Macaca mulatta: one gene and its partners. The protein of the gene in region 4 interacts with the protein of the main gene of each other region in a pairwise test. Links are inferred from orthologs where the notes say so. Each region holds a gene or a part of one and is shown on either strand. Other genes may lie near its edges.

Region 1 (3,265 bases), on a different chromosome or scaffold from region 4:
CAAAGGTGAAGAACTGAGGATTTACATACTAAAACAGGAACAGGGCAGTCATTATTTAATTTTTAAAACTCTCATTTAAATTTGCAATGCTTTGGCTGGGTGTGGTGGCTCAAGCCTGTAATCCCAGCACTTTGGGAGGGCAAGGTGGGCGGATCTCTTGAGGTCAGGAGTTTGAGACCAGCCTGGCCAACATGGTGAAACCCTGTCTCTACTAAAAATACAAAAATTAGTCGGGTATGGTGGCACTCGCCTGTAATCCCAGCTACTCAGGAAGCTGAGGCAGGAGAATCGCTTGAACCCAGGAGGGGGAGGTTGCAGTGAGCAGAGATCATGCCACTGCACTCCAGCCTGGGTGACAAGCAAGACTCCATCTCAAAAAGAAAATTAAATAAATAAAATAAATTTGCAATGTTTTAAATGAATATCACTTAAAGTAGTAATCAACAGAAGTTAGGAGAACATAACAGTACTCTTTCTCTTAGAAAGTACAACAAAAATATAATTTTTTACAGTTTTACTCTCAAACTTTTCTCTATGTAGTAACATGCCTTACTCACCTCTACAATAGGTTTGTTGTGAGAATCTTATAATGTAAACCCTGGACGTCCTATGAAGCATTTTTAAACTTCTAGTTTATGTCCTATTGATTCTTATTCAAGTGTTTTTCAAAAAATATTTAAACAACTATTCTTTTCTTGCCAATATTTTTATAATTTCCAAGAGGTTTTAAGGATGTTGAGAGAACATTGATTTCAGAAGTATCTACTACTATTACTAGTCAAGAACACAAATGTAGGCAGAGGATTTAACATTTCATCCTATATACATCTTAATCATCCTAACGGTAAAAACTCACATGAAACTTTAAGATACAAGATGATATGAGAATCTCAACATGGAAAGCTGTCACTATAACTACAAGCAGTGTACAAACATACTTCTACTTTTACCTACATAAGCTGACAGATGTTTAAAATACTGAGTTAACAAAGATCTTTTAGTAAAGTGACTTAGGCAGGCTTAAACTAGCAAGGATTAAGGATGAATCCTTACTAATTAATTGGAAGATCTGAGACATATTTTATATTTCATTTTACAAAATCAGAAATACTTATTTTGAAACAAGATAAGAAGACATGGTCTACCTGTCAAAAACCTACCACTCAGAAATATTTTTCATCCACAAAGCAGGAAAAACATAAAACCATTTACATTTCACATTGGCACCAAAAAGGTTAACTGCCCTGCCTTCTTGGATTAGAAAAACTAAAGCTGAGTGATAAGTACTTTTGCAGGCGTTTGAACATGCCTAAGCCTTTAAATCAGTAAAATACTTTCTAAAAATTCTGATTACAAAAGTAATACATACTTATAAAAAATTCAAACAGAACAAAATGAAAAAAATAGAAAGTGAAAGGCCCCTATAAAACCCCTCTGAGGCCCCTTCCCCAACCCCCCCAAAGAGAAACCACATTTAACAGTTTGGTGTCTATCTTTCCAAATCTTTTGTTCTATACATATAAGAAACATACATACTTTGATTGCCTCAGACTATACATAGTGTTTTGCCACTTGCATTTTACACTTAATATATCTTTCACATCTTTCCATGTCAGTACATCTTGGCTTGATAGTATTCTATCATTAAATACCCTTTCAAAAATGGCAAATCACTTTTAAAAAATTATTCGCACAAGTACGTGTTTATAATTTTAAAAGAAAATGGACAGAATCCTAACACACAACAACCAACCTCTAAAAATAATCTCTATCTTTCCACCAGCATGGAACAATTATTCCTTTTTCACACAAAACAAATTATGTGATTGGGGAGATTAATCTCCACATTTATATACAGAAAGCTCCATTTGTTAAGCCTATCTGAAAAGAATAAAAAATCCAGATGATTAATTCACTTACACTTAGAAATTAAGTCAGTATATGATGAATACACATTGTGTTCAGTTATAATATGATGCTTCTTAGTCTAGGGTTTCAATTAGATAACAGTAAAAAAAGTTGGATAAATAATACAGCTAATAGCCTGAAAAATCCAGAAATTCAAAGATTATATTGCCAACTAAAACACTGCCATGTACATTTTTTTTCTACTTGGTAGCAAATGCTAATGGAATTCAATCCTGATTACTTAAAAGTCAGTTCACATCACACATTCAATCAGGGTAATAAGAAGAACATAACATCCCTACTACAGAGTTAGATTAAGACATAAAAATTTTTTGCTTGAAAGTAATGACTGTGTAGCACATGGGACACTTGTCAACTGCTTCAGCACATTGTTTACAAGTGACTAGATGTCCACAAGGAACAAAAACGATAGCAATATTTCTATCCATACAGATTTTGCAAAGCTTCTCCTCTTGCAGGCGCCTTAGCTGCTCTTCAGTACTAATCTCTGCAAAAAGAGAAAAGAATTATGCTAGTTTTAGACTTTCTTAGTTGTTTACATTCATTGAAAATATTTATTGAACCCCTACTACGTGCCAGGCACCCAACAAGTGCCAGGAGATATGAGGATGACTCACACATGGCATCTGCTCTTAAATAGCTCACAGGCTAGTGGGAGAGGATGTAAGATGAGGCTATGGAGGTTAAGCACAAAGTACAAAGTGATAAGTGCTGTAATAAAGTTATGTACAAAGTGCTCTGGAACAAGATGAGAAAACAAGTTCTTCTGCTCAGGCTAGTTGGAGAAGGCTCCACAGGTTGGCAGTGGCTGGATCGGGGGAGGAGGGAAGCGGAGGAGTGACATTTAAGCATGGGCAGTAATTTGCCAGGCAGAAAAACAAGGGTTAGGTAAAAGGAGCAGCATATGGAAAGGTCACAACTAATTCCAGAAATAGAGGGATGGATTTGAGGGACACCTCTGAAGTGGGACAAGTAGGACTGGGTGACTGACTGGATATGAGGGCTGAAGAAGAAAGACAAACTAAAGTTGATTTCAAGATTGCTAGCTTGGCTGACAAGGATATGGTGATGCCAATAAGAAATATAAAAGGAGGTACAGGTTTGGGATCTTCAGATATTTTTTAGGTGTTTTCAGGACACCCATATAAAAATACCCAGTAGGTAACTGAAGAGTCAAATCTTGAGGTCAGGAGAAGTCAGGGCTAGAGATAGAGATCTGGATGTCATCAGCATATAGGTGGCACTGAAGTACTTGCTTAATTCAGCCTTTCCCAAAATAGTTTTGTGAAATGTGAATACATACGCCACAAAAAAAATGTGTTTCATGGTCACATAT
Region 2 (4,028 bases), on a different chromosome or scaffold from region 4:
AGGGAAGTGAGCCTGGGGTTGGGGAGAGCACAGGGCACTCATTCCCAAACTGGGTGAATAACAGAGAAAACACAGAAAAAGATTTCAAGATCACATAAAATTGGGTAATTATGGGTTCACCCAGGATAAGCAGATTACTTCACTGTAGGACTTGTTAGGACCTTTAAATCAGAGTACGATTATGAATCTGCCGGAGGGGATTCTAGCAGCATTTCCTCTGTGCAAACCTTTTATTTTCTCAGTGTTTTTCTAGGACTTGTGTTTCAATCAATGTTACTTGGAGAAACATATAGCAGTGTTGAAATTTGTCCCCCAGGGGACATTCAGCAATGTCTGGAGACATACTTGGTTGTCACAGCTGGGAGCCAGGTGGCTATTACTGGCATCCAGTGGGTAGAGGCCAGGGATGCTGGTAAACATTGTGCAATGCACAGGACAGCCCCCATCACAGACTTGTCCAGCCCCAAATAATAATGGCACAATTGAAAAGCCCTGGCTTAGGGTAATTTCTTCCCCCATAGACCTATCCCCACTCCTATAGCCTCAGAAATTGGAGATGATGAGGGAGCAAGGAGGATAGGAGAAAGAGAAGAGGAGGAAGAAAAAATTAAGGAAAAAAAGGAAGAACTGAAAGAGAAAAACAGAGACAATAATAAAGGCAGAGGTAAAGAAGAGACCAGGGGAAAAAAGGAGAGAAGAAGTCAGATTCATAACTGTCTTGAGAGCAACCAAGATTTTCTTCAGTAGATGAAAGGATAAACTGTGATCTATCCAGACAATGGAATTTTATTCAGTGCTAAAAAGAAATGAGCTGTCTATGAATCTATGAAAAGACACGGAGGAAACTTAAATGCATATCCAAGAGAAAGAAGCCAACCTGAAAACGCTCCACACTTGGCGATTCCAACTATATGATATTCTGGAAAAAGCAAAACTATGAAGACTGTAAAAAAGATCAATGGTGGCCAGAGGTTGGAGGGGGAGGGAGGGATGAATAGGCAGAGCATAGAGGATTTTTAGCGATAAAAATACTCTATATGGTACTACATATACTCTATAATACTCTATATGGTACTACAATGGTGGCTACATGTCACTATACATTTAATCAAACCCACAGAATGTACAGCACCAGAAGCAAACCTTAATGCAAACTTACAGACTTTGGAATGATTATGATGTGTCCAGGTAGGTTCAAAGACTGTCACTAGTGTACCACTCTGGAGGGATGGTGATAATGCGGGAGATTATGCATTTGTGGAGTGGGAGTCTATGGGAACTCCCTGTCCTTTCTGCTCAATTTAGCTGTGAACCCAAAACTGCTCTAAAATATTGTCTATCTTTTATGAAACAAAGAAACCCAAAGAAAAAGGCCGCATGCTGGTGTCAACTGGCCCCAGCCTCCTCACACCTTTATTAATACTCTGAGTTTAGGAAGGCCACTAACGCTGCTTTTCAATAGGTACGAACTGGTTGGGAAAGGCGAGGACGACAAAGGCAGGCAGGGGATTCTCTTTTGCCCAGTGTTCGGTGTCCCAAACTCGGCGTCCCGGTGCACGGCGGAGGCCTCAGACCCTGCTGGGCTTCTTGGGGTCCTGGCTCCTGCCCGGCATGAAGGCGTAGAGCTCCTCAATGAGCATCTCCATGCGCGCGGTGACCTCGGTCACGGTGTCGATGACCAGCTTCTGCTGCAGCTTCAGCTTGTTGTTCTCCCACAGGGCCTTGTTTTCCTCCTGGAAGCCCCTGTGCTCCGCCCGTAGCACCTGCAGGGTCCTGTTCTCCTCCTGCAGGAGCCGGTTCTCCTTGAGCAGGGCCTGCAGCGCCTGCCTCATCTCTCTCAGCAGCTGCAGGGGCTGGCAGCCGTCGGGCAGGCCCGGGCCCGCCTTGGCCTCCTCCTCCCCGGAGGGCCCGGACATGTTGCTGACCATCTCCCGCAGGGCGCGCAGGGTCTTGGAGTCCTCCTGCGGGGCGGGGGGCCCTCTGGGCTCCTCGAAGTGGGAGGAGAGGCCGGAGCCCTGGTCCTGCAGCAGCCCGGGGCTGCAGGGCTCCTCGTGGGGCGAGGGGGCGGGCTTGCTTTCCTCGGCGGGGGCGGCTGCGTCCTCTGTCTGGGTCCAGTAGGCCTGTTTCTGCTCCAGCAGCTGCTGCAGCGCGCGGTTCTCCTCCCGTAGTAGCTGCAGGGTGCTGTCCTCCTTGCCGCGGGGCACCTGCAGGGCGACGTGGTCCTTCTTCACCACCTCCAGGGACGCGCTGTCCTTTTGCGGCAGCGGTGAGGGGGGCCGGCTCTCCTCCCGGCCCAGCGAGGCCTTGTGCTCCTCCCAGAAGACCTGCAGGATTTTGTTCTCCTTGCGGAGCATTCTGTTCTCCTCGCGCAGGGCCTTGTTCTCCTCCCGCAGAGACTTGTTCTCCTCCTGCAGCACGAACTCCTTGGCCAGCCTCTTGTGGTGCAGCTTGTGGTGGAAGGAGGCGGATGGGGAGAAGTAGGGAGACTGCAGGCGGCAGTTCTCATTCACCCAGCGCCCGTCCTGGAACACGAACATCTCGTCGCTGAGCTGCACCCGCGGCGGGTTGTAGTCCAGCTCCAGGTCGGCCTGAGACATGGGGCGCTCCATGGGGTCTAAGGGCACGGAGGAGAAGCGGTTCAGCGGGTAGGAGTGCTGGCTCGCCATCCTGCGGCTCAGCCGGGGCAGGGCGGCCTGCTGCGCGCAGCGAGGGATGCTGTGCAAGTTGTGGAGCCTCGGGAAGGGCTCGGCTGTGCCCCTCTGCGGGAGAGAATGGGAAAGCGTTAACGATGGGACAGACACACTCGGGGCTGGCTGACAAAGTAAGGGGCGAGGACATCCCCGGATAAGCCCCGTCTGATTGTCTGGCCTGGCCACAGTGGGCGTTTTTGCCTCTTGGGGTCCTCACAAGGAAATGTGGCGGATCCTTGTCATTCCAGTGAGTTCTGTTCTATTAAGTCATCTCCAACGCTGAATTACCAAATATAGAACCATTGCTCCTATGGGAAATAGAGGGCTACATTCCTGGGAGCCTGTGGTCACAATTTTGTCAACCAAACAATATATAACCTAATTTAGTGCTTATTGTTTATTGATTCATTAACATCGAACTCACGTCAGCAACACTGTTACGCATGCCCAAACAAAACTTCTCTAACACCTATGTTTTCTCCATGTGGCACAGCATAGCCTTCTTGTGATTGGGAGTACTAGACAGCACTTGACTTGGAATGGCGCGGAAGCCATTTTTAACAGCAAAATCACCAACAAAATGCACAAGAAGGCAAAAAAAAAAAAAAAAAAAAAAGTAGCACTAGATCGACTGCGCAATGGACCCTATTTTCTAGCCTGAGAGCTGAAACAAGAAGGCTCCTTGGCTGGGGACTCAGCCTTACACAACTCAAATTTTCACCTCTCTGTGCATGTCTGAGAATTGCCATAAAAGTGCTTTAAGTATTGATTTGGTGGATACACATTTTAGCAAGTAGGCAAATTCACAAATATGGAATCCATGAATAATGAGAAACAGTTATATATTATGGAGGTCAAAAGCATTAATTTTAGAGTCAACCAAATATTTTGAGTCTCTGCCTCACTACTTACCAGTTAACAAGAATTTGGACAAGTTATCTGAGCTTTAATTTCCACAATTTCAAATTGGGATAATTGTATTTACTCCTTGACTCCTAGAGACATTTTTAGGATTAAAAAAGGTAATGTACAAAAGCACTAAGCATGGGCTCTAGCACATTCTGTCACCCTAAAGGAGGAACAAACACTGTTCTCAAGGGCCACTGCCCACAGGTGTGTACTCTCACTTAGCATGAGCAGAGAAGCAGCATGAATCATCCAAACAGCCACCCAAATTGCTGTGTCCGAAATGGTGGTGCCATTGATCAGCCCAGCCTTCTCTCTTGCCCATCTGGGCATATCCTTCACTCTTAGCCACCCTTGCGTCTTTTCTGCTAGCAGCCCCTTAAACATCCACTCCAGCTTCCAATGCAATGCTAGACTCAAAGCAGAGTCTAA
Region 3 (4,785 bases), on a different chromosome or scaffold from region 4:
GTAAAAATCAAAATTAATGCCAAAAATTGATAATGAACAAAATATCACAATTTTAGAGATAGGATCCGATTACAGACTCAGGATTGGTAGGGTTGGGTGGGGAGCTCTCTGTGGGTTTGCCTTTTCTGAGCTAAATTCCAAATTCCTGGAGTAGGTTGTGAGCCTTGGGTCGCTTTCCCCCTTCTTTGGGCTCTTATGAAGCTGATATTTCTTGCCTCCTTCCTCCCCTTGAGTTAAATTCCAAAGGAGGTCTCAAGCATCTGAGCAATAAAGATTTCCATGCTGAACAGCGAGTTTGTCTGGAATCACAGAGGGATGAGTGAGAGTCAGCTTTCTGGGCCCTGCCTCACCTGCTACTGGTGCTCCCGAGGGGACCCTTAGGGAAGCCCAGGGCCTCTGCGGATGGGAACCTCCCTCCACCAAAGTCTGACTCTGAAGTGTGCAGGCCGTTCAGCAGAGGGTGTCCCTGTACTCCTGGGTGGCCAGCTGCTTAGCGTGAATGCTCTCTCTGCATTGCAGGGCCATCGGTCACTTGCCAAAAAGAGAGCTGGTGCATTTGGGTTTTGCTGAGACTCGGAATGCTGGAAGATTCTGCCTGAGCCCAGCAGGCTCTTGGCTTTGCTATCCCTTTTCAATGCCCTTGGCTCTCAGTTCCCTGGAAAGTGGCAGAGAGGAAGGAGCCACGGTGCCGGGTGCCGCCACCAAGGGGAAAGCTCTTCAACCCAGCTCAGAGTCAAGTCGCTGAGAGTCCCTTCTCATCCTTAGCACATTTCCTACCTGGGGTAGGATGAGTTAGTTTGCGGGATGGGGATCTAACTGGCTGGAGGTTTAAAGGGCCCTTCTATTTAGCAGCCGCAAGGGCTGCTAGGGTTCCTATTACTCATTGTGAGCTCACTGAGGGGCTTCTTCAAGCAGGGAAACCAAACATCATTTCAAAATGAGGATTGCGTTGGAAATCTACTGAAGGGTGTGACATCGGGGGCCTGAAGCCTGGGGTTTGAGCTCACTTCTAGAGTGACCAATTCTCCTGTTTGCCTGGGACCATGGGGTTTCCCAGGACACAGGATTTTCAGTGCTAAAACTGGAAAAGTCCTGGGCAAATGGAGATGAGCTGCTCACTCTATTTTGACCCCATTCTTTCTGTGTTCTCACAAACTTTCAGTCTTTCATTTTGCAGATTGAGAGAATCGAGATACTAATAAAACCTGCTGTCCCTATCTCCCAAACCCGTGGGACTCAAAAGAGCTGACGTCGGTATCCCATGGCACCGTAAGCCTCTCCATCAGGGCACATCCCACTGCTGACACACCTCTGCCGGCCTCTTCTTCCTCTCAGCTTGAGCTTTTCTGGGTAAGACCCCTTTACTCACCCAGAGCATTCCTGGGCTTGGCTAAGAGCAGAAACTCGGGAAAGCTGTGCTGATAAAGCAAAGCACAAAGCATTCCCACCTGTTCATTGGTGCCCTTCTTTTCTGGCCTGTCCTTCTTAGCCCCATGGGAAGGTCGTCTACAGGCTCCGACAGACAGGCGTGCCCCTGAGGGCAGCTGTCAGGAGGAAAACAGGGCAGTGCGGGCAGGAGGCTTGGGCACTGCCCTGTTCCGAACAAGGCCGGGACGAGGAACCAGACAAAAGATGAACAGGCAGTGTGAGAAACCAGGGAGGGCCTGGTGGGGAGGTGAGGAAACAGCAGGTCCCCACCCTGGGGAAGAGAAGGGTTTCAGCTGGAATCTTAACAAATAGGCCAACCTCATCCTCCAGCCTCTGGGACTCCAGCACGGACTCCCTTGGCTGCCTGACTCTCCTGGAGGCTGCCCATCCCTCACAGTTCCTTGCGGGGCTGCCTTCCCGGGGGCTCAGCCAGATCTCAGCATGCTAAGTTGTCCCCTTGGCCTGGACATGGCCCAGCTCCACAGGGTGATACCCCAAACCTCAGTCCTCCATCTCCCCCTCACCCCTGGACTCTCCTATCCAGCTGCAGGCCTGCTTCTCTGCCTCTAGGCTCCTGGACACATAGGGTCTTGGCTGTGGGTGGCCACCCAGGGTCCCAGCTTCAGTCTTAGCTCTCAGAGCCTTAATCTCAGCTGACTTCCCTGGTAAACGAGCCCTGTGGCTCTAGCACCACTTGGGGCTGGCCAAAGCATGGTGGGGAGGAGCATGACTCAATGGCAGCCTGATGCAGGAAAGCCTCTCACCAGCCCTCGCCAGTCTGCACCCAGAGGATCCATTTCACGTGTCCAAATCCTTGCGGATCCTGTTTCATTCTCTCGCTGGGACACCCTTCCTGGGGCCCAGGAGTGCTGGGACACAGACACGGTCCCCATCACCAGAGAATCCTAGAACTCTCAGTGGAAGAAACCCCAAAGGTAACTGGTCCAGTCTCCTGCATTTGGATAGGCTAGACAGAAATTCATGGACAGAGCACCTAGGCACAGAGAGGGTGAGTAACTTCCCCAAGGTCACACAGTAAAGGAATGATCAGCTGCTCCTGAGCCACCTACCTGAACTCTCCTTTCTCCGCCTGGATGATTTCTTCTCTGTCTCATTGGCAGTGCTCCCAAACACCCCGTAGTCCTCACCTGGGCCTCCTGTGGTGTCCACCAGGCCCAGGCTGCTGGTCCCCATTTCCTTGGAACCCCCTGCCAGGCCTGAGTTGGGCCTGCGCCGGGCCTCTGAGACAGGGAAGTGCCAGTTGGGGGACTGTGGGAAAGCAGGGTGCTGCTCAGTGAAGATGCGCTCCTCCTGAGGCAGGCTGTGTGGGGTGGCCGCCAGGCAGGAGGCTGAGAAGTCGGGGTACGCTGCCGTCGCTGTCGCCGGGAAGTCTGGTTTCTGGTGGAAGGAGAACGGGGTGGGCGGGTAGTGGGGTAGCCCTGAGGCCCCATTGCCTTCTGAGTGGGGGTTTCGAAGGCAGCCCCAGACAGGGGCTGGGGGCTGGAGGCTCCTCATGCAGCTGCTGGCCGGGGGATCCATCTGCTGTCCGCTGCACGCCTCAGTCCTTTCAAAGATTTGATTCTTTATACTTTTTATGTTCAAATTTTTAAAAATGCAAAAGAAAAAAAATTAAATAGGAGGGAAAAATATTCAACAGAAAATTTACCCCAGGAACCAAAAAAAAAAAAAAAAAAAACTAAACTAAAGTCTCTCCTTAAAGTACACACACATGTGGCCAGCTACTCCTATGTGTGTGCACACACCTATATTGGGCTTGCTCCTGCCCCTCCAATGCACCAGCCTGCCTACTGGGGTCCCCTGTACGTGTATTTGTCGCCAGTGACACTAAACATTTTCACTGTCCCAACCCAGAAGCACCAGCTGAGGAGGAGCTCGTCCTGGAGCCCAGAGCAAATGCCTGCAGAGGGCTGGACCAGGGCTGCTGGGACACACTTTAAATCCTGCGGTGGGGAGAGAGTGACAAATTTCTGAAGTGAAATGTGAGAGAGGAGAGGGAGGGGTTAACCCGCACACACAAGATCCCCTCCAACCAAAACCCTAGCAGGCAACTATTAATCATCAGAAACCTTATATGCACATCTAATGGGATTTGCAGATGGAGACTTTTAAAGAAACATTGTCTGTATTTTTTTTTTATTTTAAAGAAAGCAGCACTCACGCGCGCGCGCGCGCGCACACATACACACACACACACACACACACACCGTCTTTAATGTGCCTCCTGTAACACTATGAAGTTATTTTTATTGCACTGCTAACAAAATTCCCCAAGTCTTGGATTTAGAAAAAGCCTTAAGTCAGATCCAGAATCCGTCAAATGCCAAATTCCAGGGAGTGAAGTGAGGAATAAAAGCAAGAGACAAGCTTGGTGATTGCATTTGATTTAAAGGCCCTTCTACTGCTGCCTGCGAAAAAGGAAGGTGGATTAAAAGAAATCTTTTTTGCAAGTCTCAGCGGCCCACTATGGTCTGTAGTATAAAGAAAGGCACACTCTAGAAAAAAAGAATTTCTCTCTGCCCAGAGTGACATTCTCACTTTCTCAGTAACTTAAAAAAACAATCAGATTCTTCCTTCCGCTCTTTAACCTCCAACTTACATGCCAATTAGCCACAGTCTTCTCTAGAGAGGTTTCAAGTCATTTTTCTTCACAGCAATGGCAAGGCTCTTAAATAAGGTCCTTGAAGTTTCTTCGGGTCTCCTCCCACCTGCTCCCTGCCCCCTTCACCTCCACCCACCTGCTTCCCTTTCTCAACCCTTAGAGGCGGAGGCTTCCGAGGAATTTGGGGCAGGGAAATAGGAATCAGGGGCTCCTCATTCCCCAGAGGAGCCTCTTTGGCAAGCAGGCACGTGGGTCTCCGGGCTGGTGCACATCACAGGGCAGCCAGCCCAAGTGCCATCTCGATGCCCAATCAGTCTTTCTCATGGCTGCACCCTGCTGGTCTCTCAGAGGGTTAATGCAATTTCTTGGAGGACAACATTCCTAACACCCAGGGGCCAGAACTCCTTCCCCACTGGTTATTGCCACAACCCAGGGCAGCAGGATTGGAGCAGAAACAGGCATGGGCCTTAACAGCAGCGTCTCTGCTGGCTGCTTCCGAAGACGGCCAGGGTTCCCTGAGGAGGGGCCCCTGGGTCTTAGCTCTGCAGCCTGGAGGTGGGGCCCTGGGGGGTGGGTGCAGGAGATGCTCCTAGGAAGAGTGGAAGGGCACCCAGGGATGTGGAATGAAGCCACGACTTGCCTTTAATATAGAAACTCCAGTCAGATACACATCCCGGGAGCAGGAACAGCTGTAAAAGATGGGGAGGGGTGTGCATATGAAAAGATGTGCCATCTTC
Region 4 (4,786 bases):
TCCATTCAGATTCAGACATCAAATGAGTTTTAGGGACCAGCTTGGCTATGTCCTTGGGCAGCATGACATGTCTGTAACAGAAACGGAGAAGTGAGGAATTTGTTAGTACCAGATATAGTCTCAGACAACTGCCTGTTTACAAGGCCAAGAAAGGAAAGAAAAACTAGTTTCTGATGTCAGAGTTTATATAATTTTATTGTGGGGTAGCAGCAGCTAGAAATACAGGCTATGTTATATAAATTCTGAGAGTATATGAAAAATACAAATTAGTGAATAATTCCAGTGAATAAGCACTTAAGTTCCAGGCACATTTTCTCTGCCTTCATGGACCTTATAGTCTTCTAGTTGATTGCCTACAATATAATGGGAGCCCCACGGAGCACACAGTGTTAATAATTAGAAGGAAGGAAGAGAAGTTATTCTGTGGAGAGGAAACGCCTTTTATGGAGTACTGTGTGGACAAGTCATCACAAAGGATGAAATGAAATATCCTTTAAAATCTAAGCCAGGCATGGTGGCACATACCTATAGTCCCAGCTACTCGGGAGGCTGAGGCAGGAGAGTAATTTGAACTCAGGAGTTTGACAAAGATACAGTATGAAGTTTGAAATCTTTGATTAAAATACAGAATAGGCCAGGGACAGTGGCTCATGCCTGTAATCCCAGCATTTTGGGAGGCTGAGGTGGGTGGATCACTTGAGGTCAGGAGTTTGAGACCAGCCTGACCAACAACGTGAAACCCCATCTCTACTAAAAATACAAAAAAAGAGCCGGGTGTGGTGGCATGCACCTGTAATCCCAGCTATTTGGGAGGCTGAGGCAGGAGAGAATCCCTTGAGTCCAGGAGGCGGAGGTTGTAGTGAGCTGAGATCTGGGCAATAGAGTGAGATTCCGTCTCAAAAAAAAGAGAAAAAAAAAAAAAAAAAGGGCTGCAGTGCACAATGGTTGTGCCTGTGAATAGCCACTGTACTCCAGTCTGGGCAATAAAGCAAGACCTTGTCTCTTCCAAAAAAAAAAAAAAAAAAATCTATCCTGAATCTTATCTTCCTAATTCTGGAGGGATGTACCTTGAGACTTTTTTTGGGAAATTCCGTGCTTTTCTAACCAAGGATAAGTCTCCCTTCATGGCAAAGAAATTATTACCCTGATGTGACTCAAACTAATCCAGATAGTCTTCATCATGCTCAGTGAAAATGTACTAAGTTCTCTCTCTGTGCTAGTAACAGTGGTTTCCCCCCCATTCTCCTAAAAGAAAAAATTCTAGTCCAAATATATGAAAACAGCTCACATCCTACCACCACCCTGGCACAAAATTTGGCTTCAATACATAGACCAAAAAACCCCTCTTAAACCAAAATGCCATTGCCAAGTTAAAAGTTTCATCTTCTAGGGGATGAAATGGTGATTCCTTCCCAGCTCTGCAAATCTCTTATAAGCACATACAGTTTTAAGTTAGTTTAGTTCAGATGTAGAGGAAAACAGCTGAGGAAAAGACAGTTAATTATATCAAAGAGGATCTGGAGTCGTCTTGGTATAAAGATGATTATATATGTGTCAATGCACATCGAGTTCTCTGAAGACCTAAAGCCCTGAACTAGGCTGGGTGAAGAGACAAGAAAAGCAAGTTTTCATTTTATGTTCTCCATCTGAGGAGACAAGATAACAAACCAGGAAGTGGTCTTAATTATCACAATGTAGATTAGCATAATGCCAACATTTTGGAGTCCTGTGTCTTCCCTTATTCCCAATCTAGATTATGCACTTGAAATTTATCAAACCCGAATGCTGTATCCAGTGCCAGGATTCCATCATCCCCACCCTTGGCAGATGGCTATCCAGTGTCTTCTAAACAATTTCAGTCAAGAGGTGCTTTCTCCCACATACCTTTTTCTTAGAGTCTCATCTCAGGCTCTGTCCTCTAGCAAGCTTTCCCCAACTTTCCCTCTTCCTTTTTTTTTCCTCTCAGTATTTTAAGTTTCATGTTCAAGGGTACGTGTGCAGGTTTGTTATATAGGTAAACTCCTGACTCGGGGGTTTGGTGTACAGATTCTTTTATGACCCAGGTACTAACCATAGTACCCGACAGTTTTTTTTTTCCTGAACCTCTCCCTCCTCCCACCCTTCTCCCTCAAGTAGGCCCCAACGTCTATTGTTCCCCTCTTTCTGTCCCAGTGTTCTCATCTCCGACATATAAATGAAAACACGCGTATTTAGTTTACTACTGGTTTCGTTTTCAATGGTGGTGAAAGAGTCATCACACTGAATTGGCCTTTAGGACACTCCCCCGCCCCCACACCAAGCCCAGGGAAGAAGACCGACCGAAAGTAAGAAGTCAGCCTCTAAGGCGGTGGCGGCGGGGGTTCTCGAAGGGTGGGGTGGGGGGGGGTCCTGGAGTTAGCAAAAGTAGGGGACTGACTTTCTAGCCCCACCCCAACACCCGCGCACAGCTAGGAAGCCGCAGCCTTCGGGTCGCCAGTTCCCTCTCCTTATCAAGTCTCGTGTGCTCCCATCACACCCTGTAATGGCTCCTAGCAAAGGGTGTTATCACCTTTCTGGTGTCCGTCGGTATCACTCACAGTTTTAAGTTTGTGAACAGCAGAGACCATGTGTTATCCTTGCAGAACACCTGAAACCTGTTAAGTATTCCGTAACCGTTTCCTTTGATAAAGGGCATCTATTAGACCCATATTAAGTATTTTCTCAATGCTCCTAGCCAGTTTTATTCCATTTCAGTCCCAAGCGGTCCCTTTCCTAACACAAGCCAGACAACCATGCCCCTTGTCTTTTTCACGAGTTAATAAGCAATATTCAACTCTCTCAGCGCTACTCTCGCATTAGGGACGCGAGGAAACTCCAAGCTCCGCTTTTGCTACGTTCTCCCACTGGATTCCACAGGATTACTGTAAAACTAACAGTTTCTACAAGGCAAGTTAAGTTTGCCCAATAAAGTTCAGAGAATGATCCAGAAACCCTCATGGGTGTGGGTGGTCAGTACTCTAACCACGCCTACCACTCCCTCCTCTCAACTGAGGGCAGACTCCAAATTCGCAACCACTTTATTGTTTTATGAGAGGCTCCCACCTCCGCGCATGCGCCTTACGCCTTCCACCAATATCACACCCTTGCCCGTTCACATCTCGTACGCATGCGCCAATTCTATCGCCTCAGTTCCTGTTACTAATTGCTTGTTTCCTCAGCGGTCAAAGCTCACGACCTCGCTGTTGCCCCCGCGCCAGCACTAACCGATACTCAAACTCCTCGTCGTCGTATTTGTCCGAATAGTAAATCTGTTTGTGCGACATGATCGCTCGGTTTGCTAGCCTTCAGCCCCGCGCCGCCAACCTCCAAGCAACTCCCAGCAGCACGCGCTCCCACCCACTTTGGCCTCGCTTTCAAACACGCCGCCCGCACTTCCTATTGGTCCGTTTGGCTCAAGGCGGGACAGCTGTACTTCCAAGCCTCCGATTGGCTTAGATTTACTTCTCTTGGGTCCTTATTGGAGGGCAGTTCTTACGTTTCTCAAGAACGAGCGTGGGTCGAAAGTAGGCGTCTTATTGGCCACCACTGCCTCTGTGCACGATTTCGCGCTGCCATTGGCTAACTCGGGAAAGTGGGAAGCGTGAAGGAGGGACCCTGAGGTAGAGGGTCAGGGGTTAGTGAGGCCGGAAGTGAGTGTAATAAAGTTTCTCCAGGGAGGCAGGGCCCGGGGAGAAAGTTGGAGCGGTAACCTAAGCTGGCAGTGGCGTGATCCGGAACCAAATCGGCCCGCGGTGCGGTGCGGAGACTCCATGAGGCCCTGGTGAGTCTTGACTTTTTTCTCCTTAGGTGACTCACTCTTCCACTCCGGAACCCCTCTCCCGGGACCCCACTTCCGGTCTTCATTTATAAGTCCCGCCCCTGAGACCCCTCTCCCCGGAAGTCCCACCTCCCAACCTCTGGGGGCTCCCCCGAACCCCGACTTGATTTTTATTTTTTGTCTCCGACCCCACCCTGTCGCCCAGTTTTCCTGGAAGTCCCACCCCCAGACACGTTCCAAGCCCTACTACGTGAAACCCTTGGTTACTCCTTCCATTCTCCGAAACTCCGCCTCCTAGCAACGATCCTCTGCTAACTCCTGTCAAAAAGCCTATCTCCCAAAAGGGCAAAACCCTGCTCCTCAAAGAACGATTCGAATTTGTTGGAGCCACGCCTCTTCGGGGCTCCGCCCCTCCGAAGCCACGCCCTGTTCGTAATCCGTGTCTGACTGTCCAGAAAGCCTCCCCGCATAGAAGTCTGAAGTTCGCGTCCTGGCGGACCACGCCCCCTTACGAGCTTTGTGGGACCTGGGTCATCAGCTGTAAAGCCTTGTCGTCAATCCCTGAAACTCCACCTGCTTATATTTTCCTGTCCTTTGTCTTTTTTTGGGCTTTGGGATCAGTTTTCCGAGCACTCTCGTGCTCCCCCAGGTGGGAAGTCAAAGTTCCTATCTCTGACTGTGAAGAGTGAGATTAAAGGCAGCCGTTTTCCTTTCTTTCTTTTCTTTCTTTCTTTTTGTTTTTTTTGAGACAGAGTTTCGCTCTTGTTGCCCAGGCTAGAGTGCAATGGTGCGATCTCGACTCACCGCAACCTCCGCCTCCTGGGTTCAAGTGATTCTCCTGCCTCAGCCTCCCGAGTAGCTGGGATTATAGGCGCCCGCCACCACGCCCGGCTAATTTTTGTATTTTTAGTAGAGAGGGGGGTTTCACCATGTTGACTAGGCTAGCCTCGAACTCCTGACCTCAGATGATCCACCCGTCTCAGCCTCCTT

The links.
Region 1: the proteins of CKS1B (region 4) and XIAP interact in a two-hybrid assay, tested with the Homo sapiens proteins (3 studies listed by BioGRID and IntAct). The two-hybrid records come from large-scale screens. The link is inferred for Macaca mulatta from reciprocal best matches to the Homo sapiens genes CKS1B and XIAP.
Region 2: the proteins of CKS1B (region 4) and CBY2 interact in binary tests that used the Homo sapiens proteins (3 or more experiments, as listed by UniProt). The two-hybrid records come from large-scale screens. The link is inferred for Macaca mulatta from reciprocal best matches to the Homo sapiens genes CKS1B and CBY2.
Region 3: the proteins of CKS1B (region 4) and MEOX1 interact in binary tests that used the Homo sapiens proteins (3 or more experiments, as listed by UniProt). The two-hybrid records come from large-scale screens. The link is inferred for Macaca mulatta from reciprocal best matches to the Homo sapiens genes CKS1B and MEOX1.

The regions. Positions count from the first base shown.
Region 1 is NC_133426.1:130,341,065-130,344,329, reverse strand, and holds the end of XIAP (E3 ubiquitin-protein ligase XIAP), read right to left. Parts: intron 2,417-3,265; coding exon 2,223-2,416; 3' UTR 691-2,222; downstream 1-690.
Region 2 is NC_133422.1:24,984,416-24,988,443, reverse strand, and holds the end of CBY2 (protein chibby homolog 2), read right to left. Parts: intron 2,760-4,028; coding exon 1,569-2,759; 3' UTR 1,088-1,568; downstream 1-1,087.
Region 3 is NC_133421.1:68,004,762-68,009,546, forward strand, and holds the start of MEOX1 (homeobox protein MOX-1), read right to left. Parts: upstream 3,112-4,785; 5' UTR 2,968-3,111; coding exon 2,499-2,967; intron 2,103-2,498; exon of another isoform or gene 1-2,102. UniProt on the Homo sapiens protein: Mesodermal transcription factor that plays a key role in somitogenesis and is specifically required for sclerotome development. Required for maintenance of the sclerotome polarity and formation of the cranio-cervical joints.
Region 4 is NC_133406.1:112,025,697-112,030,482, forward strand, and holds the start of CKS1B (cyclin-dependent kinases regulatory subunit 1), read right to left. Parts: upstream 3,378-4,786; 5' UTR 3,303-3,377; coding exon 3,244-3,302; intron 72-3,243; coding exon 1-71.